Linked DNA regions of Anolis sagrei. The protein of the gene in region 1 interacts with the protein of each later gene in a pairwise test. Links are inferred from orthologs where the notes say so. Each region holds a gene or a part of one and is shown on either strand. Other genes may lie near its edges.

Region 1 (6,919 bases):
TATAATAATAATTATTATTACTATTATTATTATTATTTGATTTATTCCAATTTATTTAATTATTATTATTATTATTATTACTATTATTATTATTATTATTTGATTTATTCCAATTTATTTAATAATAATAATAATTATTATTACTATTATTATAATAATTATTATTATTTGATTTATTCCAATTTATTTCGCTCTATACAGCGCCAAAATTTATGCTTTCCTTGTTTTGCACAAACTGGATCAAACCCATATTTTATTTTTGTTAATTTAATTAATTTAACTTTTTAAATTTAATTTTTAAATAAATAAATAATAATAATAATTATTATTAGTAGTATTAGTATTATTCCAATTTATTTCACTCTACACAGCGCCAAAATTTATGCAAACTGTATCACACCCATTGCTGCGTATTTAATCCCATACAGCTGAGACTCTGCACATGCTCAGAGGCAATAATAATGATAACGAGAAGCCCCTTTGGTATCGATATTATTACTAATAGATACTATTACTAGTCGTTCCCTTGATATTAATAATTCCCTTAAGCCATCTGATAGGACCCATATCTATCCTTTATGCAATCAGACACTCTGCACATGCTCAGAGGCAACAACAACAACAACAACAACAATAGTAATAGTAATAACCACAATAATAATGAGCAGCTTTGGGTCAACAACAACAGCAACAATAATAATGTGCTTTTCCCTATTCATTCCCTTTACCCAGATCTATGCAATCAGACACTCTGCACATGCTCAGAGGCAACAACAACAACAACAATAACAGTAATAGTAATAACCACAATAATAATGAGCAGCTTTGGGTCAACAACAACAACAACAATAATAATGTGCTTTTCCCTATTCATTCCCTTTACCCAGATCGATGCAAGCAGACACTCTGCACATGCTCAGAGGCAACAACAACAACAACAGTAATAGTAATAACCACAATAATAATGAGCAGCTATGGGTCAACAACAACAGCAACAACAATAATAATAATGTGCTTTTCCCTATTCATTCCCTTTACCCAGATCTATGCAATCCGACACTCTGCACGTGCTCAGAGGCAACAACAACAACAACAATACTCACTCCCTTTCCCCAGATCTATCATTCCTGCAATGGGACACTCTGCACATGCTCAGAGGCAATAATAATAACAACAATAATAGTAATAGTAATAACCACAATAATAATGAGCAGCTTTGGGTCAACAACAACAGCAACAACAATAATAATAATGTGCTTTTCCCTATTCATTCCCTTTACCCAGATCTATGCAAGCCGACACTCTGCACATGCTCAGAGGCAACAACAACAATAGTAATAGTAATAACCACAATAATAATGACCAGCTATGGGTCAACAACAACAGCAACAACAACAATAATAATGTGCTTTTCCCTATTCATTCCCTTTACCCAGATCTATGCAATCAGACACTCTGCACATGCTCAGAGGCAACAACAACAACAGTAATAGTAATAACCACAATAATAATGAGCAGCTTTCGGTCAACAACAACAACAACAATAATAATAATGTGCTTTTCCCTATTCATTCCCTTTACACAGATCTATGCAATCAGACACTCTGCACATACTCAGAGGCAACAACAACAACAACAACAACAATAGTAATAACCACAATAATAATGAGCAGCTTTGGGTCAACAACAACAGCAACAACAATAATAATGTGCTTTTCCCTATTCATTCCCTTTACACAGATCTATGCAATCAGACACTCTGCACATGCTCAGAGGCAACAACAACAACAACAATAATAATAGTAATAGTAATAACCACAATAATAATGAGCAGCTTTGGGTCAACAACAGCAACAACAACAAGAATAATGTGCTTTTCCCTATTCATTCCCTTTACCCAGATCTATGCAATCAGACACTCTGCACATGCTCAGAGGCAACAACAACAACAACAATAGTAATAGTAATAACCACAATAATAATGAGCAGCTTTGGGTCAACAACAACAGCAACAATAATAATGTGCTTTTCCCTGTTCATTCCCTTTACCCAGATCTATGCAAGCAGACACTCTGCACGTGCTCAGAGGCAACAACAACAACAACAATACTCACTCCCTTTCCCCAGATCTATCATTCCTGCAATGGGACACTCTGCACATGCTCAGAGGCAATGATAATAACAACAACAATAATAATAGTAATAGTAATAACAACAATAATAATGAACAGCTTTGGGTCAACAACAGCAACAACAACAATAATAATGTGCTTTTCCCTATTCATTCCCTTTACTCAGATCTATGCAAGCAGACACTCTGCACATGCTCAGAGGCAACAACAACAACAATATTCACTCCCTCTACCCAGATCTATCATTTCTGCAATGGGACACTCTGCACATGCTCAGAGGCAATAATAACAACAACAACAACAATAATAATAATCATTCCCTTTACCTAGATGTATCATTCCTGCAATGGGACACTCTGCACATGCTCAGAGGCAGCAACAACAACAACAACAATAATATTCACTCCCTTTACCCAGATCTATTATTGATGCAATGGGACACTTTGCACATGCTCAGAGGCAATGATAATAATAATAATAATAATAATAATAATAATCACTCCCTTTACCTAGCTCTATCATTTCTGCAATGGGACACTCTGCACATGCTCAGAGGCAATAATAATAATGATAATAAGCTTTCAAAAATAATAATTTGCATTTCCCTATTCATTGCTTTCAGCCAGCCTTTAATTGCAATGCAAGGGTCTCTGCACATGCTCAGAGGCACCCTTAATTGGGGTCTATGTGCGTTTCAAGGCCCCCCTCTCCACCTTGGCGGTGACTTTGTACTCGGTGTGTCCCTTGGGGTGGCCGCGGGGCTCGGTGACCGTGTAGAAACGCTGGTACTCCTCTTTGGCCCGGCGGGACATTTCCGTGACGCGGCCCCTTTAAATCTGGGACCTCCCCGTTGGAGCCAAGGGAGGGCTCCACTGCGCCTGCGCGCGCCTGCCTCTCCTGGCTGGAGACAGGGCTAGGGAGCGTCTGCAAAGTGCAAACGCCAATAGGTCAATAAGGGCTCCTCTACAAAAGGCAAAACCTGGTCCAAGCAGAAAAAAATAAATAAATAGAAACTATTGACAATTTTTTACTAGGAATTTATTATTTTATTAATAAGTAAATAATAAGAGGGAAAAAAAGAGCTGGAAGAGGGGAAAAAAAGAAGAAAAAAAGACCCCTCCCCTATTTATTTATTTATCCCCAATTATTATTACTTCCAATACTAATAATAATAATATTTGCAGTACTGTCAATCAATCACGTTGGCTCCCACAGACCATAGAACCATAGAATCATAGAATCAAAGAGTTGGAAGAGACCTCCTGGGCCATCCAGTCCAACCCTATTCTGCCAAGAAGCAGGAATATTGCATTCAAATCACCCCTGACAGATGGCCACCCAGCCTCTGTTTCAAAGCTTCCAAAGAAGGAGCCTCCACCACACTCCGGGGCAGAGAGTTCCACTGCTGAACAGCTTGGATGGTGTAGAGTTGGAAGAGACCTCATGGGCCATCCAGTCCAACCCCATTCTGCCAAGAAGCAGGAATATTGCATTCAAATCACCCCTGACAGATGGCCATCCAGCCTCTGCTTAAAAGCTTCCAAAGAAGGAGCCTCCACCACACTCCGGGGCAGAGAGTTCCACTGCTGAACAGCTTGGATGGTGTAGAGTTGGAAGAGACCTCATGGGCCATCCAGTCCAACCCCATTCTGCCAAGAAGCAGGAATATTGCATTCAAATCACCCCTGACAGATGGCCATCCAGCCTCTGCTTAAAAGCTTCCAAAGAAGGAGCCTCCACCACACTCCCTCCGGGGCAGAGAGTTCCACTGCTGAACGGCTCTCACAGTCAGGAAGTTCTTCCTCATGTTCAGATGGAATCTTCTCTCTTGTAGTTTGAAGCCATTGTTCCTTTGCGTCCTAGTCTCCAGGGAAGCAGAAAACAAGCTTGCTCCCTCCTCCTCCCTGTGGCTTCCTCTCACATATTTATACATGGCTATCATATCTCCTCTCAGCCTTCTCTTCTTCAGGCTAAACATGCCCAGCTCCTTAAGCCGCTCCTCATAGGGCTTGTTCTCCAGACCCTGGATCATTTTAGTCGCTCTCCTCTGGACACATTCCAGCTTAGGGTCAATATCTCTCTTGAATTGTGGTGCCCAGAACTGGACACAATATTCCAGGTAAAGTGGTCTAACCAAAGCGGAATAGAGCATGGGGAGCATGACTTCCCTGGATCTAGACACTATGCTCCTATTGATGGAGGCCAAAATCCCATTGGCTTTTTTTGCCACCACATCACATTCCTGGCTCATGTTTAACTTGTTGTCCACGAGGACTCCAAGATCATTTTCACACGTACTGCTCTCAAGCCAGGCATTGTCCCCCATTCTGTATCTTTGCATTTCGTTTTTCCTGCCAAAGTGGAGTATCTTGCACCACTGCGACCCCCACCAATGATGGACCAGGACCACACTGGGCACACAGACCCCTCCCCTATTTGCAGTAATGTCAATCAATCAGGTTGGCTCCAATCAATCACTGCTCACCTATTTGCAATACTGTCAATCAATCGCGTTGGCTCCCACAGACCACTGCGACCCACACCAATGACGGACCAGGACCACACTGGGCACACAGACCCCTCCCCTGTTGCAGAACTGTCAATCAATCACGTTGGCTCCAATCAATCACCCCTCCCCTATTTGCGGTACTGTCAATCAATCACGTCTTAGAAAAATACTCAGTATTTGCTTTTTTGTAATGAATGCTCCCATTCTGTTTTTTTATGAAAACTCCATGATGTTGCTCAGGTTAGTTTGGTAAGGATAAATATTAAAAATAGTCATTGTTAGATTTTGGATTTTAAGAATAGACCTCTTAGAAAATGCATAACTGTATAAATAGGGCCATTTATAAATTTGGACAGCTGATGTGGTGCAACTTCCATCAGTGCAAGACCAACTTACTTCTCTACTAACCAAGTAACGCATTTTCTAATGGTATGTATTATATTTTTTTCCCAATTTACAGATGTAGAAATTAGTAAATCATTGGATTTACTGTAGCCATACTAGATTGGAATGTGTCCAGAGGAGAGCGACTAAAATGATCAAGGGTGTGGAGAACAAGCCCTATGAGGAGCGGCTAAAGGAGTTGGGCATGTTTAGCCTGAAGACGAGAAGGCTGAGAGGAGGCATGATAGCCATGTATAAATATGTGAGAGGAAGCCACAGGGAGGAGGAGGGACCAAGCTTGTTTTCTGCTTCCTTGGAGACTAGGACGCAAGGGAACAATTCCTTCAAACTACAAGAGAGGAGATTCCATCTGAACATGAGGAAGAACTTCCTGACTGTGACAGCCGTTCAGCAGTGGAACTCTCTGCCCTGGAGTGTGGTGGAGGCTCCTTCTTTGGAAGCTTTTAAACAGAGGCTGGATGGGCATCTGTCAGGGGTGATTTGAATGCAATATTCCTGCTTCTTGGCAGAATGGGGTTGGACTGGATGATGGCCCATGACTGTGAGAGCCGTTCAGCAGTGGAACTCTCTGCCCCGGAGTGTGGTGGAGGCTCCTTCTTTGGAAGCTTTGAAACAGAGGCTGGACGGCCATCTGTCAGGGGTGATTTGAATGCAATATTCCTGCTTCTTGGCAGAATGGGGTTGGACTGGAGGATGGCCCATGACTGTGAGAGCCGTTCAGCAGTGGAACTCTCTGCCCCGGAGTGTGGTGGAGGCTCCTTCTTTGGAAGTTTTGAAACAGAGGCTGGATGGCCATCTGTCAGGGGTGATTTGAATGCAATTTTCCTGCTTCTTGGCAGAATGGGGTTGGACTGGAGGATGGCCCATGACTGTGAGAGCCGTTCAGCAGTGGAACTCTCTGCCCCGGAACGTGGTGGAGGCTCCTTCTTTGGAAGCTTTTAAACAGAGGCTGGATGGCCATCTGTCAGGGGTGATTTGAATGCAACATTCCTGCTTCTTGGCAGAATGGGGTTGGACTGGAGGATGGCCCATGACTGTGAGAGCCGTTCAGCAGTGGAACTCTCTGCCCCGGAGGGAGTGTGGTGGAGGCTCCTTCTTTGGAAGCTTCTAAACAGAGGCTGGATGGCCATCTGTCAGGGGTGATTTGAATGCAACATTCCTGCTTCTTGGCAGAATGGGGTTGGACTGGAGGATGGCCCATGACTGTGAGAGCCGTTCAGCAGTGGAACTCTCTGCCCCGGAGTGTGGTGGAGGCTCCTTCTTTGGAAGTTTTGAAACAGAGGCTGGATGGCCATCTGTCAGGGGTGATTTGAATGCAATTTTCCTGCTTCTTGGCAGAATGGGGTTGGACTGGAGGATGGCCCATGACTGTGAGAGCCGTTCAGCAGTGGAACTCTCTGCCCCGGAACGTGGTGGAGGCTCCTTCTTTGGAAGCTTTTAAACAGAGGCTGGATGGCCATCTGTCAGGGGTGATTTGAATGCAACATTCCTGCTTCTTGGCAGAATGGGGTTGGACTGGAGGATGGCCCATGACTGTGAGAGCCGTTCAGCAGTGGAACTCTCTGCCCCGGAGGGAGTGTGGTGGAGGCTCCTTCTTTGGAAGCTTCTAAACAGAGGCTGGATGGCCATCTGTCAGGGGTGATTTGAATGCAACATTCCTGCTTCTTGGCAGAATGGGGTTGGGCTGGATGATGGCCCATGACTGAGAGCCGTTCAGCAGTGGAACTCTCTGCACTGGAGTGTGGTGGAGGCTCCTTCTTTGGAGGCTTATAACCAGAGGCTGGATGGCCATCTGTCAGGGGTGCTTTGAATGCAATATTCCTGCTTCTTGGCAGAATGGGGTTGGACTGGATGGCCCAGGAGGTCTCTTCCA
Region 2 (7,066 bases), on another chromosome or scaffold:
AGAAAGGGGGGAAAGAGGAAGGGAAAGAAAAAGGGGGAAAGGAAGGAAAGAGGAAGAGAAGGAAGGAAGGAGAGAAGGAAAGTAAAAAGGGGAAGGAGAGAAAGAGGGAGGGAAGGTTGGCCACAGCAACACGTGGTGGGCACGGCTTGTGTGTGTGTGTACATACACACACATACCACATACTTCCACCTGTTCCTCAGCATGCTTGCACATGCTGCTTACTCAATCTTTGTAGCTACACTTCCCAAAGCCCCCACTCACCCTTTCATGCCATGCTATTCCTCCCTCCATCACCCAACGCCTTCCAGACACACTCCCCTCTTCAACAAAGCACACCCACACCTCCTCCTCACATTCACCCATAGTGAGACCACTCCACCACCACCCCACCACCCAATTCCTCACATGAACAACCTCCTTTCTCGATTTCCTCCCGCAAAAAAAAGCCCTCTCTTCACAGCGTCTGGAAGGCCTACTCCATGAGTCATGGAGAGTTGACATGCCACTGAATCCACCCCCTCCAAAAGTTCTCCCACACAAAAGCAGACCCTCCCCACATTACCCTGTGGTGAGGCCACCCCAGTTCTTCCCATACACGCCCTCAATGTCCATTTTCCCCTTGACCCCTCCCTCCTACTAGGTCTTCTAGGCCTTTCCTATCAGGCCCCTCCATGAGTTATTGGGAACCAGAATCCATTAATTCCAATACGACCACTCCCCTCACTCATTTCTGCCTTCCTTGTCTCACCCTCCCCCCCCCCCAAAAACACACTCCTTACAATGGCTCCCCTTCATCATGCTCTCCTTGTCAAGGCCAAGGTTTCTCTCACCACCACAAATGTATACCCAGAGGTCCACTACCAATGTACCCACCCCCAATAGTCTCCCCACTTTCAAGCCTTGGCCTGACAGGAGTTTGGGGAGGGAAGCCTAGCTTCCCCCCCCCCAAAAAAAAGCACACATGGAGGCACCCCAAGGCCCACCACAAAGGCTACCCACCACGCCCCTCAGGTCAACCCTCCCCCCCCCCAAAAAGGAATATACACAGAGATAGGTAGACTACAAAGGCCTCTTACAGTCTCCCCCAAAAAATATTCACCCCAAACTTCAACTCTCCCCCCCCCAAAAAAACGCAAAGAGAGAGGTTAACTACAAAGGCCTCTTATGGCCTCTCCCCTCAAACATTCACCCCGAACTCTACTACAAAGGAAGCCCACCACGCCCCTCAGGTCAACCCCCCCCCAAAATGCACAGAGAGAGAGGTTCTTTACAAAGGCCTCTTATAGTCTCCCCCCCCCCAAAAAAAAACATTCACCACAAGCTCTACTACACCCTTCAGGTTAACTCCCCCCCCCCCCCCAAATACACACAGAGAGAGGTTCACTACATTGGCTTCTTATGCTCACTCCCCTCATTCACCCCAAGTTCCACTACAAAGGCTGCCCACCCACGCCCCTCAGGTCAACCCCCCCCCCCAAATATACACATAGAGAAGTTGACTACAAAGGCCTCTTATAGCCCCCCCCCCAAAAAAAACACATTCACCCCATGTTCCACTACAGTCCACCACACCCCTCAGGTCAATTCCTCCCCCCAAAAAATACCCATACAGAGAGGTTCACTACAAGGCCCCCGATGTCAACTCCCCCTCCAACAAAAATATACACACAGAAGGTTCACTACAATGTTCTCCACCCAAAAAGCATTCACCCCCATGGCCCACCACACCCCTCTGGTCAACTCCCCCCCCCCAAAAAAAAATACAAGAGAGAGGTTCACTACAAAGGACCCTCATGGTACCCCCCCCCCAAGTTCCACTAAAGGCAGACCACCACACCCCCATGGTCCCCCCCCCCCTTAGGAAGTTTCCCTGAAGCAGTCTTCCCCCTTCAAAAAAACCCCTGGCCCTCGATAGACAGACACCCCACTGCCCCCTCCCCCCAAAAAGCCAAAGCATCTCCCCCCCCAGCTCTGCAGGCGCATGCGCACTCTCCTTCCCCGACTCACCGGGCGAGGCTGAGCCCTTGGGGTCTCCCTTGGCGGCGGCGGGGCTTTGCTCTTCCTTCTTGGGGGGCAGCTGGGGGGCGTTGCGGGGCGGGATGGCGGGGGGCTTGGGCTCCCCTCGGGGCGGCGGGGGTGGCGGGGGCTGCTCCTCCTCCTCGGGGGCAGAAGGAGAAGAAGAGAAGGAGGAAGGAGGGAAAGAGGAGGAGGAGGAGGGGGTGGTGGTGCTGGGGCCCCAAGCCGGCTGCGGAGGGGGCGGCGGGGGCGGGGAGGAGGAGGGGGCCTTGGCGGGCGGGGGCGGCTCCCCGAAGCCCCCCAAGTCCAGCAAGGGCGGAGGGGGCCCGGAAGGAGCCGGAGGGGGGCTGAAAGGGATGGTCGGGGCCGGGGCGGACAGGGGCTTCTTCACCTCCCGCACTTCCAGCCGCTCATCATCCAGATCTTCCTCCTCTTCTTCCTCCTCCTCCTCCTCTTCGTACTCGGGGTCCTTCACGAACTGGTACTGGAAAAGGGGGGGCTGGGGCTGGGAGGCTGTGGAAGGAGGAGGAGGAGGGAGAGAAGAAGACGAAGAGGAGACCAAAGGCGACTGGTCGGGGTCGTCCATCCTGGCTTGCAAAGAGAAGAACTCAAGAGGAGCCGAGCTGGGAGAAAGGGAGGAAGGAAGGAAGGAAGGGAAAACTGCACACTCTCTCACTCTTTCGCCCCAAAAGAAGGAGAAGGAGGAGGAGTAAAAGTAGAAAAGGAGGAGGAGGAGGAATGAACAAGGAGGGCGGCTGCTGCTGCTGCTTCAGGAGAGAGAGAGAGAGAGAGAGAGAAGAGGGGGAGACGCAGCCCGCCAGCCAGCCACCACCTCCACGCCCGGATGAGTCACAGAAGAGGAGGAGGAAGGAGAGGAGGAGGAGGCTGGGCTTGGACGGGGAGGAGGGAGCCTGCAACTAACGAGGAGGACGAGGAGGAGGAGGAAGAGAAGTTGAAGCGAGCGGCTCCTGTCTGTCCTCCTCCTTCTCTTCTTCTTCTCCCACCCAAGAAGATAGACAGGCAACCCAAAGGCCCAATGAGCATCCAGGAGGGGACACAAAGGGGGCGGGGCTAAGAGGGAATTGACCATTCGAGGTGGGGATGGAGAAGAGGATGCAGCCCAGGCATGGGCACACTTGGGCCTTCCAGGTGTTTTGGACTTCAGCTCCCACAATTCCGAACCACCAGTTGGAAGAGATAGACAATAATAATAATATTTATTTATTTTATTACAAACAATCTACAAACAAAACAATCTACATACAAACAATCTACAGACCCACCAAGAAAATCCAACAAATGCTACCTTCAGCAAAGGACAAGAGGGATCCTCTCACTTCTGCAGGAGTCTACTGTATACCATGCAGCTGTGGACAAGTCTACATAGGGACCACCAAACACAGAGTTGCCCAGACACGCATCAAGGAACATGAAAGGCACTGCAAACTACTTCAACCAGAGAAGTCAGCCATAGCAGAGCACCTGATGAACCAGCCTGGACACAGCATATTATTTGAGAACACAGAAATGCTGGACCACACCAACAACCACCATGTCAGGCTACACAGAGAAGCCATTGAAATCCACAAGCATGTGGACAATTTCAACAGAAAGGAGGAGACCATGAAAATGAACAAAATCTGGCTACAAGTATTAAAAAACTCCAAAATTACAAAGCAAAACAGCAGAGAGGAAACAACCAGGCACATCTTAACACCTCTCAACAAAAGGTTTTCCCAGGCTCAGGCAGGCCTTCAAATGCTAATGAAGGTGATCAGCTGAAACATTCACACCTAGCTCTAGCAGGGAAGAGCTCCTTGCCCCACCCCAGCCATTCCACAGATATATAAACCCATTGTCCTATTTCCAACAGACCTGAGGATGCTTGCCATAGATGCAGGCGAAACGTCAGGAGAAATGCCTCTAGAACATGGCCCTATAGCCCGAAAAAACCCACAAGAACCTATTTATTTTATTTATTTCTGTTACTTTTACCCCACCCTTCTCAACCCCCGAGGGGGGACTCAGGGCAGCTTACAAAGAAGGCACCATTTGATGCCGTACAAATTACACATAATATACAAAACCATGGCTAAAACAATTATTGCAGTTAAAAACAATCAAAACAATCAGTACATAACATGTCATATATAAAAACTATAAAAAAAACTATTCTCATGCTCAGCGCTTCGTCTTTCAGAGTTCCATAGTTCTATTCCATTAATCATTTCCTAATCATTGTCAAGTCCTTTTATCTGCCCGATTATCCGAATGCCTGGTCCCAAATCCATGTGTTCAGTTTTTCCTAAAGGAAAGGAGCGATATTGCAGATCTAATTTCCCCGGGGAGTGAATTCCAAAGGTGGGGGGCCACCACCAAGAAGGCCCTGCTCCTCGTCCCCGCCAATCTCACTTGTGATAGAGGCAGGGTCGAGAGCAGGGCCTCCCCAGATGATCTTAGACTCCAGGGTGGGACGTAGAGGGACGTAATACGGCCAGTTGGAAGGGATAGCCAATAATAGTAATAATAATATCTGGGTGTGCAGGTACAACTGCACCAGGAGCTCCAATTTTGTTTGCTTTGCATTTAATGTTTGTTGTAGTCCTAAGTTTCAGGGACTCTGCAGATAGGTGGCTTCTTTTGGCTGCAATCATAGGACAAGCCACCTGTCAATTATAGTTCGGTTCCCTGGTCCTGCCCCCTTTGGGTTTTGGAGGGAATAGGAGCCAGTTTGGGTTCAGTCCACACAGAGAAGCTTTCCATGCAGGACATAATACCAAGAGCTCCTGTAGAAAGCTTTGTCTTCTATGGCTTGGCTGGGGTTATACAGCCCCACAGCTTGGCCAGAAGATATACAGCCTTACAGCTCCTTTGCTGAGGGACTTCAGTCAGCCATCACTGAAACCTGAACTCCTTTTTCCCTGGAAGTCTACAAAGCTCTGCTTGGTAAGGGTCACTCGCGGAAGCCAGATGCAGTTGGTACCGGGTGTAGGGGCTCCACGCCATCAGAGGCAAAGACAGACTGCCCAGATTAGAAGTTAAGAATTTCCCCATTAGTTACAGTTATGAAGATAGTGCCTGTTCCCTGTGGACAAGATTGAGAGAGCCAATAGACTGTTAAGAAAGCTTTAAAGTATTGTTTGTTTTCATCAATAAAGAACACTGTTGAACCTTTAAACAATCTAAAGACTCTGTTTTAAGGAAATCCAAGGGCCTTTAATCTGAGGCAGCCCCGGCGTCCTGTTGGGCACACAGAATATATGTCCTGTCTACAGTCCTATGCACAGGCCCAGCGTGCGACAGCACACTGGGCATACTACAGTTGGACAATATCAGGCATGGGCAAGTGAAAAATGTGGTCAGCAAAGAATATATCCAAAGAGTCAGAAAGGTTTTGAAGAGTAAATTAAATGGCGGAAATACAATCAATTATAATAACTTTATTTTTATACCCCACCAACCATCTCCCCTGGGGAACTCGGGGTGGCTTACAAGGGGCACGCCCAAGATTACAATTAAAAAACACATGTAAAACACTTTCACCAATTAAAACATAAGATAAAACAAATAACAACACAATTGAAAGCAATATAAAACAATATCAAGGCTATCAACACCTGGGCCACCCCCGTCATTACATACACTGGTGGGATTGTGAACTGGACACAAGCAGAGCTGAATGATCTGGATAGAAAAACAATAAAACTGATGACAATTCACTACTCATTACACCCGTGTAGTGATGTCAACAGACTTTACCTGCCCAGAAAATCAGGAGGCAGAGAGAGGGCTTCTGCAAGTGAAGCAAAAATGGTAGAAGAAGAGAAACATGCACTGGCAGATTATGTGAAAGGCAATCAAGAACCAACATTGAGGGAAGTCAATCGTAGTAAACTGCTTCAAGTGCAAAAGACAAAGAGGGAATACCGTAAAAACACAATCCATAGCAGAAGAGAAAACCAGCAAAAGACTGGACAGTTTCTGGCAAAATTTGAGAGCCAAATTGACAAAGAAAAAAACATGGATGTGGCTCACAAATGGGACTTTGAAAAAGGAGACGGAGGGCCTGATTCTGGCAGCCCAAGAACAAGCCATTAGAACCAATGCCATCAAAGCCAGAATTGAAAAGTCACGACAGATCCCAAGTGTAGACCTTGCAAGGAAGCAGATGAAACAATAGATCACATCCACAGCTGCTGCAAGAAGTGGTGCAGTGTATATTACATGTAATATTACTAATACTATTACAGTATATATACTAATGTTGTGCTGTGCATTATAGCAATACTGATCAAAGGAAGATCAAAGTACTCAGCATCAATACAGGCAGGCCTCCACATTCATAGGGTTAGGGCCACAGGACTCCCATGAATGTGAAAAACCTGGAATGAAGAAATCGTTGGGTTGTTTTTTAACCTGAGGGAATGTGTCTAGGCCTTCCAACATGGCTTCATCTATGGTCAACATCTTCTGGAAAATGACCATGAAATCTCAGTGAAGGACCATAGATTCCTAGAAAGAATATTTTTAATCAGATCCTTTATCCCCTGTTTGGGTATCAGCCAGCACGTCAACAACTTAAATCAAGAAATAGTTTTCTAAGCTCTACAGAGACACTCGCTGGAACACCGCAGCAAGCGAGAGTCCAAAAGTGGCAGGCTCAAACCCAGAACCTCAATCAATGACTGATACCAAATGAGAGACTCCCCCCTGGGCACACAGAGGACTGGGCGACTTGGAAGGCGCTGAACAGACTGCGCTCTGGCACCACGAGATGCAGAGCCAACCTCAAGAAATGGGGCTATAAAGTGGAATCCACGACATGCGAGTGTGGAGAAGAGCAAACCACAGACCACCTGCTGCAATGCAACCTGAGCCCTGCTACATGCACAATGGAGGACCTTCTTGAGGCAACACCAGAGGCACTCCAAGTGGCCAGATGGACATTTAATCAACTACCAAGCTTGCAAACTTTGTGTTTTGTTTGTTTGTTTGTTAAAAAATGCAATACAACTGTTTGGTTTGCTCCTGACACGATTTATAATAAATA
Region 3 (7,076 bases), on another chromosome or scaffold:
TTAATTATTGTATTGTTTGTAAGTGTCTTTTGCACTACAAATAAGATATGTGCAGTGTGCATAGGAATTCATTCATGTTTTCTTCAAATTATAATCTGGCCCTCCAACAGTTTGCGGGACTGTGACCTGGCCCTCTGTTTAAAACGTTTGAGGACCCCTGCTGTAGATCTTAGAAAACTATTTCTTGATTTAAGTCATTGAGAGAGGTCAACCCTCCTGTTCAAGGAGCTCCACTGGCTGCCGTTTGTTTTCCAGATCAGACTTCCCAAGGTACAGGCGCAACTTTGGAAGCTTTTAAACAGAGGCTGGATGGCCATCTGTCAGGGGTGATTTGAATGCAATATTCCTGCTTCTTGGCAGGGAGTTGGACTGGATGGCCCATGAGGTCTCTTCCAACTCTTTGATTCTATGATTCTAACTGTGAACCTAAACCTAACTGATGCGGGCACGATTGGTGGGGACGAGGGAGAGGGCTTCTTGGTGGTGGCCCCTCGACTCTGGAATTCACTCCCTAAGGACATCAGATCAAGGGTCTGGAGAACAAGCCCTATGAGGAGCGGCTTAAGGAGCTGGGCATGTTTAGCTGAATAAGAGAAGGCTGAGAGGAGATATGATAGCAAAGATACAAAATAGGGGGACGCCTGGCTCGAGAGCAGTACGTGTGAAAAAGATCTCGGAGTCCTCATGGACAACAAGTTAAACATGAGCCAAGAATGTGATGTGGCGGCAAAAAAAGCCAATGGGATTTTGGCCTGCATCAATAGGAGCATAGTGTCTGGATCTAAGGAAGTAATGCTACCCCTCTATTCTGCTTTGGTGAGACCACACCTGGAATAATGTGTCCTATTCTGGGCACCACAATTGAAGAGAGACATTGACAAGCTGGAATGTGTCCAGAGGAGGGCGACTAAAATGAGCAAGGGTCTGGAGAACAAGCCCTTTGAGGAGCGGCTTAAGGAGCTGGGCATGTTTAGCCTGAAGAAGAGAAGGCTGAGAGGAGATATGATAGCCATGTATAAATATGTGAGAGGAAGCCACAGGGAGGAGGGAGCAAGCTTGTTTTCTGCTTCCCTGGAGACTAGGACGCGGAACAATGGCTTCAAACTACAAGAAAGGAGATTCCTTCTGAACATGGTTACTGAACACTGGAATGGAACAATGGATGACGAATCTGGAACATGTTTTTGATGACGAGACGACAGTGAATGGGTATTGTAGTAACTGTTTATTAATTGTGTAATGTGTTAGGTTGTCAACTGTTTCTATACTGTAGCACTGAATTTTTGCTGTTCGTATTTGTTGTGAACCGCTGTGAGTCACCTTCAGGCTGAGAACAGCGGTATATAAGTAAGGTAAATAAATAAACATGAGGAAGAACTTCCTGACTGTGAGAGCCGTTCAGCAGTGGAACTCTCTGCCCCGGAGTGTGGTGGAGGCTCCTTCTTTATTTTATTTTAATAATATGTCGCTCCGGTGAGCAATCTGGCTGCCACTCGCTGGACCAGTTGAAGTTTCCAAACAATCTTCAAGGGCAACCCCACGTAGAGTGTGTTGCAGTAGTCTATTCAGGATGTAGCAAGAGCATGGACCACTGTGGCCAGATCAGACTTCCCAAGGTACGGGCGCAACTTTGGAAGCTTTTAAACAGAGGCTGAATGGCCATCTGTCAGGGGTGATTTGAATGCAATATTCCTGCTTCTTGGCAGGGGGTTGGACTGGATGGCCCATGAGGTCTCTTCCAACTCTTTGATTCTATGATTCTATGAGCGGCTTGTCTCTCTCCTGAGGAATCTGTACAAGGACCAAGTCGCAACAGTAAGAACTGACCACGGAACAACAGACTGGCTCAAGACTGGGAAAGGCGTACGGCAAGGCTGCATACTCTCACCCAACCTTTTTAACTTGTATGCAGAACACATCATGCGATGTGCGGGGCTGGATGAATGCAAAGCTGGGGTGAAAGTTGCTGGAAGAAACATTAACAACCTCAGATATGCAGATGACACCACTCTGATGGCCGAAAGCGAGGAGGAGCCGAGGAGCCTTCTAATCAAGGTGAAAGAAGAAAGCGCAAAAGCCGGCTTGCAGCTAAACGTCAAAAAAACCAAGATTATGGCAACAAGAATGATTGACAACTGGAAAATAGAGGGAGAAATCGTGGAGGCCGTGATAGACTTTGTATTTCTAGGTGCAAAGATGACTGCAGATGCAGACTGTGGCCAGGAAATCAGAAGACGCTTACTTCTTGGGAGGAGAGCAATGTCCAGTCTCGATAAAATAGTGAAGAGTAGAGACATCAGACTGGCAACAAAGATCCGCCTAGTCAAAGCCATGGTATTCCCTGTAGTAACCTACGGATGTGAGAGCTGGACCTTAGGGAAGGCTGAGCAAAGGAAGAGAGATGCTTTTGAGCTGTGGTGTTGGAGGAAAGTTCTGAGAGTGCCTTGGACTGCGAGAAGATCCAACCAGTCCATCCTCCAGGAAATAAAGCCCGACTGCTCACTGGAGGGAAGGATACTAGAGACAAAGTTGAAGTACTTTGGCCACATCATGAGGAGACAGCAAAGCCTAGAGAAGACAATTATGCTGGGGAAAGTGGAAGGAAAAAGGAAGAGGGGCCGACCAATGGCAAGATGGATGGATGGCATCCTTGAAGTGACTGGACTGACCTTGAAGGAGCTGGGGGTGGTGACGGCCGACAGGGAGCTCTGGCGTGGGCTGGTCCATGAGGTCACGAAGAGTCGGAGACGACTGAACGAATGAACAACAACAGTGTCTAGATCCAGGGAAGTCATGCTACCCCTCTATTCTGCTCTGGTCAGACCACACCTGGAATATTGTGTCCAATTCTGGGCACCACAATTGAAGAGAGACATTGACAAGCTGGAATGTGTCCAGAGGAGGGCGACTAAAATGATCAAGGGTCTGGAGAACAAGCCCTATGAGGAGCGGCTTAAGGAGCTGGGCATGTTTAGCCTGAAGAAGAGAAGGTTGAGAGGAGATATGATAGCCATGTATAAATATGTGAGAGCAAGCCACAGGGAGGAGGGAGCAAGCTTGTTTTCTGCTTCCTTGGAGACTAGGGCGCGGAACAATGGCTTCAAACTACAAGAGAGGAGATTCCATCAGAACACGAGGAAGAACTTCCTGACTGTGAGAGCCGTTCAGCAGTGGAACTCTCTGCCCTGGAGTGTGGTGGAGGCTCCTTCTTTGGAAGCTTTTAAACAGAGGCTGGATGGCCATCTGTCAGGGGTGATTTGAATGCAATATTCCTGCTTCTTGGCAGAATGGGGTTGGACTGGATGGCCCATGAGGTCTCTTCCAACTCTTTGATTCTATGATTGTAATTGTGAACCTAAACCTAACTGATGTGGGCACGAGTGGTGGGGACGAGGGAGAGGGCTTCTTTGTGGTGGCCCCTCGACTTTGGAATGCACTCCCTAAGGACATCAGATCAAGGGTCTGGAGAACAAGCCCTATGAGGAGCGGCTTAAGGAGCTGGGCATGTTTATGAGAAGGCTGAGAGGAGATATGATAGCCATGTATAAATATGTGAGAGCAAGCCACAGGGAGGAGGGAGCAAGCTTGTTTTCTGCTACCTTGGAGACTAGGATGCGGAACAATGGCTTCAAACTACAAGAGAGGAGATTCCACCTGAACATGAGGAAGAACTTCCTGACTGTGAGAGCCGTTCAGCAGTGGAACTCTCTGCCCTGGAGTGTGGTGGAGGCTCCTTCTTTGGAAGCTTTTAAACAGAGGCTGGATGGCCATCTGTCAGGGGTGATTTGAATGCAATATTCCTGCTTCTTGGCAGGGGGATGGCCCATGAGGTCTCTTCCAACTCTTTGATTCTATGAGCGGCTTAGAGTTTAGGGAAGTGTTGTCAAAGGCTTTCATGGCCAGAATCCCTGGGTTGCTGTGTTTTCTGGGCTGTCTGGCCATGTTCCAGATGCAACCCAGTTTAGAGAAGTATTTTCCCCTGGCAGGTGTGGCCCCGCCCCTTCTCTCCCATTGGTTGCTCGGTGAAGGGGCTCTGCCTTCTGCCCTGGAAGCCCCGCCCACCTGTAAGAGCTGACCGGCTTAGAGATCCCCGCTGGTCTCCGTCTGGGCTTTGTTCTGCGATGGACCCGCTGCAGCGTCGCTTCCAGGCCTTTCTGGACCAGCCAGGCTGGCTGGGCGACCTCCTGGGCGGGCTGGAGGCCAGGACCGGCGTTCAGCGCTATTACCTGGCCACAGGTGAGCCCCTAGCTGCCCTTGGGAAGTTTGCGCATGTGCACAAGCGCCCTTGGCCCACCTTTGGCTGCTCTCCTCAGCCTGAGGAGTGGGCAGGCAAAGAGAAGCGCCTGGTTATGTTAGTATTATTATTATTATTATTATTATTATTGTATTATTATTGGTATATATTATGTTATTTGTACTATGATATATTATGACATATATTATAATAATACAAATAAAATAACAATACAATAATATAAGATATAATAAAATAATATGTCATAATATATCATAATAAAATGTATAATAATATATCATAATAAAATAATACAATTATAATTTATAATATATTATAATCATACAAATAAAATAACAATACAATATGATATAATGAAATAATATGTCATAATATATCATAATAATCATGTATAATATCATAATAAAATAGTAATACAATTACTATAATCTATAATATATTATAATACAAATAAAATAACAATACAATAATATATAATAAAATATGTCATAATATATCATAATAAAATGTATAATAATAATGTATAATAATATATCATAATAAAATAATACAATTACTAGAATCTGTAATATATTATAATAATACAAATAAAATAACAATACAATAACATAAGATATAATGAAATAATATGTCATAATATATCATAATAAAATGTATAATAATATATCATAATAAAATAATACAATTACTATAATCTATAATATATTAGAATAATACAAATAAAATAACAATACAATATGATATAATGAAATAATATGTCATAATATATCATAATAAAATGTATAATGATATATCATAATAAAATAATACAATTACTAGAATCTATAATATATTATAATAATACAAATAAAATAACAATACAATATGATATAATGAAATAATATGTCATAATATATCATAATAAAATGTATAATGATATATCATAATAAAATAATACAATTACTAGAATCTATAATATATTATAATAATACAAATAAAATAACAATACAATAATATAAGATAGAATGAAATAATATGTCATAATATATCATAATAAAATGTATAATAATATATCATAATAAAATAATACAATTACTAGAATCTATAATATATTATAATAATACAAATAAAATAACAATACAATAGTATAAGATATAATAAAATAATATAGATTATAGTAATTGTATTATTTTATTATTATATATTATTATACATTATTATTATACATTTTATTATAATCTATAATATATTATAATAATACAAATAAAATAACAATACAATAATATAAGATATAATAAAATAATATTATAAATTATAGTAATTGTATTGTTACGTTATTTTATTATTATATATTATTATACATTATTATTATACATTTTATTATGATATATTATTAGATTATATTGTTATTGTATTGTTATTTTTTGTATTATAATATGGCCCCCGGTGGCGCAGTGGGTTAAAGCACTGAGCTGCTGAGCTTGTTGACCAAAAAGGTCGCAGGTTCGATTCCAGGGAGTGGCGTGAGCTTCCGCTGTCAGCCCTAGCTTCTGCCAACGTAGCAGTTCGAAAACATTCAAATGTGAGTAGATCAATAGGTACCGTTCCGGCGGGAAGGTAACGGCGCTCCATGTGGTCATGCTGGCCACATGACCTTGGAGGTGTCAATGGATAACGCTGGCTCTTCGGCTTAGAAATGGAGATGAGCACCACACCCCAGAGTCAGACATGACTGGACTTAATGTCAGGGGACTACCTTTACCTATATTACATATTATATTTTTGTATTTTACATTGTATTAAATAATATTGAAGATTTGTATTATTATGTTATTTTATTGTATTATTGTTGTATTTTGTTTTTTTCCTTTATTATTATATTTGTTTTTTATATTATTATATATTGTTGTTATTATTACTTGGGGTCCATTGCTCTTTCTATATTACCCCTCCCCATTCTTTTTGCACTGTAATTCCCATCAACCTCCATCCTGCCTGATGATCTTTCCAGTCCAACGGAAAGAGCAGCCTTTCCCAGCAGGAGGAAATTATTATTATTGTTGTTGTTGTTGTTATTCTAATATCTAATGTTATTTTAATGGGTTTTAAAAATAATTATTCAATGTATTTCCTGTGCATATCTTCCAATATTGCCGCGCACTGCACACTGCACTTGCCCTATAATCCTTACATATCACCTGTCACATCAGTACTTTTAATTCTGTACCCTTTACTCTGGCCCGGCCCAGTTTTATTGTGTTTTGGTGTATTGTTTATTGCTTGTTGTTTTAATATTGCTTTAACTGTTTTTAATTTGCTTTAGGTGTTGTATTGTTATGTTGTGTATTGAGGCCTTGGCCTTTGTAAGCCGCATCGAGTCCTTCGGGAGATGCTAGCGGGGTACAAATAAAGATAATAATAATAATAATAATAATAATAATAATAATATTTTAATATGCTGTCGCTAAAAATGGGGTTCATCCATGAAACGTAAAATTTATGTAGCGTAACTACATGCAATAAGTGAGTTTCTTTGTGGGGTATTATTATTATTGTATTATATTTTATATTATATATATAATATTTATATTATACAATTATATATAATATATTAAATATGTTATTATAAAGTAGATATCATATAATCATTAATATAGCATATTAATATTATAATATTATTCTTATTGGTATATATTATATTATTTTGTGTTATAATGTATTATGATTTATTGTTATTAATTTAAATGTATTAAATATTATAATATGATATATTATATCATATTGTTATATTTATATTTTTAATTATATTTTTATTAATGGCATATATTATATTATTTCTTGT
Region 4 (7,779 bases), on another chromosome or scaffold:
TGGGTTTGTACTGAAGCTGAATTTGTATGCATGCTGGAACAGATATATTTTAAAGTATAAGTCCATATACATACATATATATGTGTGTGTGTGAGAGAGAGTGTGTTTTGGATCACATAGGGAAGGGCGAACACTCCTGTGGTGTTCTGTTGCTGCTTGTGGCACTGTTTTAGAGGATTTCGCCTCCTTTTCTGTCCCTATGATAACTGGGTTTTGAAAAATGTGTCTAGTTGTGGAAATAACAATTCCAGATAAACCTTCAGTGGGGATCTTGTTTCCCCATGATAATAACTCTTCCATGACTAGATTCCCCTCACTTCCTGTTGTCTCAGTCCCATTCTTAACTGTGGGTCATTTGTAAGTTGGGTGTTTGTAACTCGGGTACGACCTGTATGTAGAAGGGGAGAGGAGGCTAACCTACTTACCCTATGCTCATTTATCAGAAAACCTACTTGACAAAACATCTTTTTCTCCCTTCTCTCACTTCATGCATTAACCTCTCCCCTGATTTTAAAGCATCCTAGGAGTTTCAAAAGGCAATTGGAAATGCACCTCCACCTGGCATACCTTCACTCTGGGCCATCAAAATCAAAAGTTTTATGCCTTAAAGATGAACATGTGTTATTGGACACAACCTTTCACAGGACACAATGTTCTGGTGTGCCTCTGAGTCCTTCTCCACTTACAGCGATCCTAAGGTCACAATTTAGCAAGATCTGTTCAGAAGGGCCAGGCCAATAACACTTGTTCATCCTCTCAGCCACCAAAGAAGGTTATTGGTGGCTAAGAGGGTGACTTGCCCAGTTGGTTTCCATGGCTGAGCCTCCAGAGCCCTGGTCCAATGCTCAAACCATGAGGCCACCCGGACTCCTCTCATAACCAGCCGCTTTGGGTCTCATTAAGAGAATAAAGAGGGCTATAAATCAATGCAGTAGTAATAACACTCTGTAACACAATTTTTGTTCCTGGGTTATAAATGGCATTTTCTAATTGGTTCTAATCACTATGTTTTAAAACTAGTATCAAGTCAATACAGAGCGTATGGTATAGTGGTTTTTAACTCTGGATATGTTTCAATGGTTTTTAACTAGGGATTTTAAATATACAGGGTTAGTCAAAATGCATAGGCCAATAAGCCATTCAATTGAATAGCTTATTGGCCTATGCATTTTGACTAACCCTGTATACTGTTTATATTTAATCCTGTTTTAATGTTTACATATTTGTATATTTGAAATCGTGTACAAATGCTTTTATGTTAAGCCACTGTATAAATATGTGAAAGGATGTAAAAAGGAAGAGGGAGCAGGTTTGTTTTCTGCTGCCCTGGAGACTAGGACTCAATGGAGCAATGGGCTCAAATGACAGGAAAGGAGATTTCAATGAACATGAGGAAGAACTTCTCACTGTGAGAGCTGTTCAGCAGTGGAACTCTCTGCCTCGGAATCTGGTGGAAACTTCTTCCTTGGAAGATTTAAAAAGATGCCGGATGACCATTTGTCAGGGGTGATTTGATTGTGCTGTTCCTGCATGAAGGTGGAGTGGAAGGGGGTTGGACTGGGTGGCCCCTGGGGTTGCTCCTATTATTATTATTATTATTATTATTATTATTATTATTATTATTATTACTAGAAGGGCTGGGTGGCCATCTGTTGCGAGTACTTTAATGGTGATTTTCCTGCATGAAGGCAGAAGTTAGTTGGACTGGATGATCTCTGAGGTTTCTGCTATGATGATGATGATTATTACAAAGGCTGGATGGCCATCTGTTGGGGGTACTTTGATTGTGTTTTTCCTGCATGGCAGAAGGCAGTTGGACTGGGTGGTCCCTGGGATAGCTCTTATTATTATTATTATTATTATTATTATTATTATTATTATTGCAAAGGCTGGATGGCCATCTCTTGGGGGTACTTTGATTGGGCGTTTCCTGTATGAAGGCAGAAGAGAGTTGGATTGGATGGTCTCTGGGGTTGCTCCATTTATCTATCTATCTATTTATTTATATCCTGCTTTATCTCTCCATACGGACACTCAGAGCGGCTCACAATAAAGGAACATTACAACTTAAAATACACAAACATACAACAATAAAACAGTATATGTGATTAAATATTAACAGTAGTAATTCTATTTAATACATTAGCATTACTATATTACAATATTATTATCAATATTATATGTCTATACAATATACTATACTATTAGCCTAGCACAATATTAGTATTACATATTACTATATTCTACTATACCACTATACTGCAATACTATTAGTAATATTACATGTAATATATAATATACAATTATTATTATATCATTATATTGTACTATATTATTATACCACAACATATATAATACGCGACCAGTATATTATACTACAGGTATTAGTATTATATAATATAATGTATTATTAGTATTATTAGAAAAGCTGGATTACCATCTGTCGGGGGTGTTGTGAGGGTGCTTTTCCTGCAGGGCAGAATGGGGTTGGACTGGATAGTCCTTGGGGTTTCTGCTATTATTATTATAATTATTATTACTAAAAAGGCTGGGTGGCCGGCCATCTGTTGGGGGTGCTTTGATGGTGTTTTTCCTGCATGAAGGGGGTTGGACTGGATGGCCCCTGGGGTCTCTTAACTGGGCGTCTACTCTACTATTCGACATGGACCTAACCGCGCACCCCAGAATATCTACTCCGTGCCATGATCCCTGCATTCACCAATTCTACTGAAAGAGAGACCCTGAAAGCAAAGGGCCATTATTCAAGGCCAAGCAAGCTCTGGGCCTGAGCCCGGAAACGAGGCCTCAGCCTGGGCCCTTAAGTCTCGCCAAACCCGCCCTGGATGGGGACCACGACTGAGGCCACGCCGCCTCCCCCTTGCCTAGAAGAGAGAGAGAAGAATAGACCGTTCACCCACCAGCTGGTTGGTGCTCCTGTTGTCGCCTTCCGCCATTTTGTCCGCCTTCGACAGCTCCAACCGTCAACCGCCCGGCACCGCCCCCAAGAAAGGCAAGTCTTTTCTCTCACCTCGCCTCCCATTGGTCAGGGGAACCAAACCCCACCAGCCAATCAGCGTCGTCTTGTTAGCCTCCGGGCCAATCGCCTACCTATTTACATTTTCAAAACGAAGGCGCGGCTCCCTGTAGTGTAAGCCTAGGCCAGCTTGGGCCCTCTCTCCAGATGTTGTGGACTTCAGCTCCCACAATTCCTCACATCCTCAGGCCTCTTCCTTTTGCTCCCCAGCCCTTTAAGGTTGGGCCGAGGCTGTGAAGAATTGTGGGAGTTGACGTCCAAAACACTGGAAAGAGAGCTCAAGTTGGCCCAGGTCTGCTTTGTTGTTGTTCATTCGTTCAGTCGTCTCCGACTCTTCGTGACCTCGTGGACCAGCCCACGCCAGAGCTCCCTGTCGGCCGTTACCACCCCCAGCTCCCTCAAGGTCAGTCCAGTCACTTCAAGGATGCCATCCATCCATCTTGCCCTTGGTCGGCCCCTTTTCCTTTTGCCTTCCACTTTCCCCAGCATAATTGTCTTCTCTAGGCTTTCCTGTCTCATGATGTGGCCAAAGTACTTCAACTTTGTCTCTAGTATCCTTCCCTCCAATGAGCAGTCGGGCTTTATTTCCTGGAGGATGGACTGGTTGGATCTTCTCGCAGTCCAAGGCACTCTCAGCACTTTCCTCCAACACCACAGCTCAAAAGCATCAATCTTCCTTCGCTCAGCCTTCCCTAAGGTCCAGCTCTCACATCCGTAGGTGACTACAGGGAATACCATGGCTTTGACTAGGCGGATCTTTGTTGCCAGTCTGATGTCTCTACTCTTCACTATTTTATCGAGACTGGACATTTTGTAAAGGTCTGCTTTACAAAATTGGAAAAGAAGCATTTTGTTTCTTATCAACCACAGGCACCACTACATAGAAACAAAAGGTTTCTGAGCCACTTTGAATTGGGGAAAAGCTAGGAAATGGCAAACACCAAATGCAAGCCTTGAAGGAAAGAAGGAAGAAAAAGGGAAGGAAGGTAAAGAAATAAAAAGGAAGGAAAGAAAGAAAGAAAGAAAGAAGGAAGGAAGGAAAAGGGGCAGGAAGGTAAGAAGGAAAAAGGGAATGAAGGTAAGTAAGAAAAAAGGAAGGAAAGGAAGAAGGGAAAGAAAAACGGAAGGAAGGAAAAAGGGAAGGAAGGGAAGAAAGAAAAAGGAAAGGGAAGAAGCAAAAAAGGAAGGACAGGAAAAAAAGGAAATGAAGGGAAGAAATAAGGAAGAAAAGAAGGGGGTTGGTCACTTCACAGGATGAACACAACACCTTTTTGTTGTCGTTTGTATTTTGGTCATTGGCCAAAACAAAATGTTGATATTAAGCAGGCGTGAGACTTTTGAGATACCCAAGTGTGATGAAGTGTACATTTTTTCTTGCAGTTATGTATTATTATAGACTAGCTTGGGGACCCAGCGCTGCCCGGGTTATTTAAGAAAGGAATTGTGTATCAAGTTTGGTCTTTATCAGTTATTTATATGACTCGCAGTTGTCTCAGGAAGTTAGTGAAGGTACTGTGAGTCCCATTATCTGTGGTCCATCCTCCTCCAAACTGCTCCAGGATGGAGAGTGGGTAATGGGGTTTTTGTGTGCCAAGTTTGGTCTTGATCGGTCATTAGATGAGTGTTGCAGAGGTCTTGGGAAGTGAGTGGAGGTACTTGAAGTCCCATCATCCATAGTCTGTACTCCCCCAAACCTCACCAGAATGTTGACTTGGCCATGGGGGCTCTCTGTTCCAAGTTTGGTCTTTATTCGTTTTTGAATGAGTTTTGCTATGGTTTCAGGAAGTGAGTGAACGTACTGCAAGTCCCATCCTCCATCGTCCATCCTTCAAACAGCACTGGGATGTAGGGTGGGTCATGGGGGCTGTGTGTGCCAAGTTTGGTCTTAAACGGTCATTAGATGAGGGTTGCAGCAATCTTGGGAAGGGAGTAGAGGTACTTGAAGTCCCATCATCCATGGTCTGTCCTCCAAACTGCACCAGGGTGTAGAGCGGGTCATTGGGGCTCCGTGTGCCAAGTTTGGTCTTGATTAGTCATTGGCGAGGGTCTCAGTGGTCTCAGAAAGTGAGTGAGGTTACTGCAAGTCCCATCAACCACCTCCGTTTTTTTTCCAAATGACACCAGGACGTAAAGTGGGTCATGAGAGGTCTATGTGCCAAGTATGCTCTTGATCAGTCATTGCATGAGATTTGCAGAGGTCTCAGAATGTGAGTGAAGGTACTGGAAGTCGCATCATCCATCGTCTGTCCTCCTCCAAAACTGCAGCAGGATGTAGAGTGGGTCATGGGGGCTCTGTGTGCCAAGTTTGGTCTGTATTGGTAATTTTCTGACAGAGCCCCTGGCCTTTCCTTTCCTCTCTTTGTCATCTCGGAATCTTGGAATTGAGGCTGGCCAATCTGAGACCATATGCAAATTTCCTTCTCTCATGTCTCCGTTTCTGTCATGAAACCTTTTCTCCACCAGGGGCTCCTGTAAAGCTGACCAATCAGAGATCATATGCAAATAGCACCACAGCGGCAGCCAATCAGAATCTTGGAACTTTCAGGGTGGCCAATCAGAATGCTGGCACATACACCGCCACACCGCCACACTTTTGTCCTCCGCATACAAACTTTGACTTTTATTATATACATAGATAAGGGTTAGTAATGGTAAGTATATAGTATTGCATAATATTGGGGGATGGTAACCAGCTTAGCTTGCTTTGAGCTGAGTTGCTATGGAGATAGGGGCAGAGCCAACTGCCACTTGGCAGAACAGCCATTTTGGAAGCGGTCAGTCTGTGGTTGGTGAACTGCAGAACTGGTTGGTTCTTTCCTGTGTAAAGAACCAGAGAGAATTCTGTAGTCATAGAACTACAGGGAAAGGCTGATGCTTCCTCTTCATCTTGGAAAGAAGTGACGAGTGGAGTGCCGCAGGGTTCCGTCCTGGGCCCGGTCCTGTTCAACATCTTTATTAATGACTTAGATGAAGGGTTAGAAGGCAGGATCATCAAGTTTGCAGACGACACCAAATTGGGAGGGATAGCCAATACTCCAGAGGACAGGAGCAGGATTCAAAATGATCTTGACAGATTAGAGATGGGCCAAAACTAACAAAATTAAGTTTAACAGTGACAAATGTAAGATACTCCACTTTGGCAGGAAAAACAAAATGCAAACATACAGAATGGGGGACGCCTGGCTCAAGAGCAGCAAGTTAAACATGAGCCAACAATGTCATGTGGCGGCAAAAAAAGCCAATGGGATTTTGGCCTGCATCAATAGGAGCATAGTGTCTAGATCTAGGGAAGTAATGCTACCCCTCTATTCTGCCTTGGTTAGACCACACCTGGAATATTGTGTCCAATTCTGGGCACCACAATTGAAGAGAGATATTGACAAACTGGAATATGTTCAGAGGAGGGCGACTAAAATGATCAAGGGTCTGGAGAACAAGCCCTATGAAGAGCGGCTTAAAGAGCTGGGCATGTTTAGCCTGAAGAAGAGAAGGCTGAGAGGAGACATCATAGCCATGTATAAATATGTGAGAGGAAGTCACAGGGAGGAGGGAGCAAGCTTGTTTTCTGCTTCCCTGGAAACTAGGACACGGAATGGCTTCAAACTACAAGAAAGGAGATTCCACCTGAATATTAGGAAGAACTTCTTGACTGTGAGAGCTGTTCAGCAGTGGAACTCTCTGCCCTGGAGTGTGGTGGAGGCTCCTTCTTTGGAAGCTTTTAAACAGAGGCTGGATGGCCATCTGTCAGGGGTGCTTTGAATGCAATATTCCTGCTTCTTGGCAGGGGGTTGGACTGGATGGCCCATGAGGTCTCTTCCAACTCTATGATTCTATGATTTATATTAAAAGTAACTGTTGTGGAAAAGAAGGGAAACCCTAATAAGCATCTTTATTGTAACAGAACCATCATAAAGAAAGGATAAGCGTGTGCCTGAAATAACCTGTTAAAGAAAGATCTCTTTCTAAAAGAACTAAGTTTAAGACCTGTTTGTTAGAATAATTAGACCTTCTAAGAGTTATTTAAGGACTGTTATGAACGTGACCATTAAAGATCTGTACCTCTAAGAGAAGAGAAACTTTGAAACCATCACATTTCTGTACCTCAACAAACTTGTTCGTTTCCTTTTGAAGTCAAGCCTGACTCTTTTCCAAGTCAAGTCATGCTACATATTAGAGAAAGACCAAAGCAACATTACAAGCTATTGGTTGTGTCATCAATTTAAAAAGCCATCACAAAGAGGTGACTCCTTTTTCCAACTTTCTACATATATGTAACAGTTATACCTATACCTCCTTACAATTTGGTGGCATTGTTGCAAATTAGTGGCCAAGCCTTTACAATTAGTAGCAGTAATATACTGGCTCCTTCACAAGGTGCTTGTTTTTTTTGCTTTTTTAAAAGTTTGTTTATTTTTCAGAAAGGCAGGACATATATACCTCTAGTTCAAAATGGAACCAGTTTGAGAAAGCTCCGGTTGAGAAAGTTATTTGAATGTCTGCCTGCATGCTCAGAAAGGTGGCTCTGAATTTAATGTGCCTCAACCATGGAGGCAGGCATTAGCAAATTTAACTTGTATATGTCGATGATTTCCTATTATGATGTCCCTTCTGTCCAATTATGTTCTGCATGTGGCCTCAAAAGGAGAACACTAAAACGTGGTTTCACAATGCTGCCCAGGTCTAATCGGCAAGCATAATCGTATTGGGTTGGCCGGGATGTGACAGCTAAGGAGTATTTGAACTAA

Evidence for each region.
Region 2: the proteins of SNX15 (region 1) and RTN4 interact in binary tests that used the Homo sapiens proteins (3 or more experiments, as listed by UniProt). The two-hybrid records come from large-scale screens. The link is inferred for Anolis sagrei from reciprocal best matches to the Homo sapiens genes SNX15 and RTN4.
Region 3: the proteins of SNX15 (region 1) and REEP6 interact in binary tests that used the Homo sapiens proteins (3 or more experiments, as listed by UniProt). The two-hybrid records come from large-scale screens. The link is inferred for Anolis sagrei from reciprocal best matches to the Homo sapiens genes SNX15 and REEP6.
Region 4: the proteins of SNX15 (region 1) and ARL6IP1 interact in binary tests that used the Homo sapiens proteins (3 or more experiments, as listed by UniProt). The two-hybrid records come from large-scale screens. The link is inferred for Anolis sagrei from reciprocal best matches to the Homo sapiens genes SNX15 and ARL6IP1.

The regions. Positions count from the first base shown.
Region 1 is NC_090032.1:21,597,175-21,604,093, forward strand, and holds the start of SNX15 (sorting nexin-15), read right to left. Parts: upstream 3,013-6,919; 5' UTR 2,945-3,012; coding exon 2,846-2,944; intron 1-2,845. UniProt on the Homo sapiens protein: May be involved in several stages of intracellular trafficking. Overexpression of SNX15 disrupts the normal trafficking of proteins from the plasma membrane to recycling endosomes or the TGN.
Region 2 is NC_090021.1:16,435,113-16,442,178, reverse strand, and holds the start of RTN4 (reticulon-4), read right to left. Parts: upstream 3,010-7,066; 5' UTR 2,603-3,009; coding exon 2,008-2,602; intron 1-2,007. UniProt on the Homo sapiens protein: Required to induce the formation and stabilization of endoplasmic reticulum (ER) tubules. They regulate membrane morphogenesis in the ER by promoting tubular ER production.
Region 3 is NC_090034.1:62,189,608-62,196,683, forward strand, and holds the start of REEP6 (receptor expression-enhancing protein 6), read left to right. Parts: upstream 1-4,051; 5' UTR 4,052-4,121; coding exon 4,122-4,236; intron 4,237-7,076. UniProt on the Homo sapiens protein: Required for correct function and survival of retinal photoreceptors. Required for retinal development.
Region 4 is NC_090034.1:25,324,769-25,332,547, forward strand, and holds the start of ARL6IP1 (ADP-ribosylation factor-like protein 6-interacting protein 1), read right to left. Parts: upstream 3,026-7,779; 5' UTR 2,955-3,025; coding exon 2,919-2,954; intron 1-2,918. UniProt on the Homo sapiens protein: Positively regulates SLC1A1/EAAC1-mediated glutamate transport by increasing its affinity for glutamate in a PKC activity-dependent manner.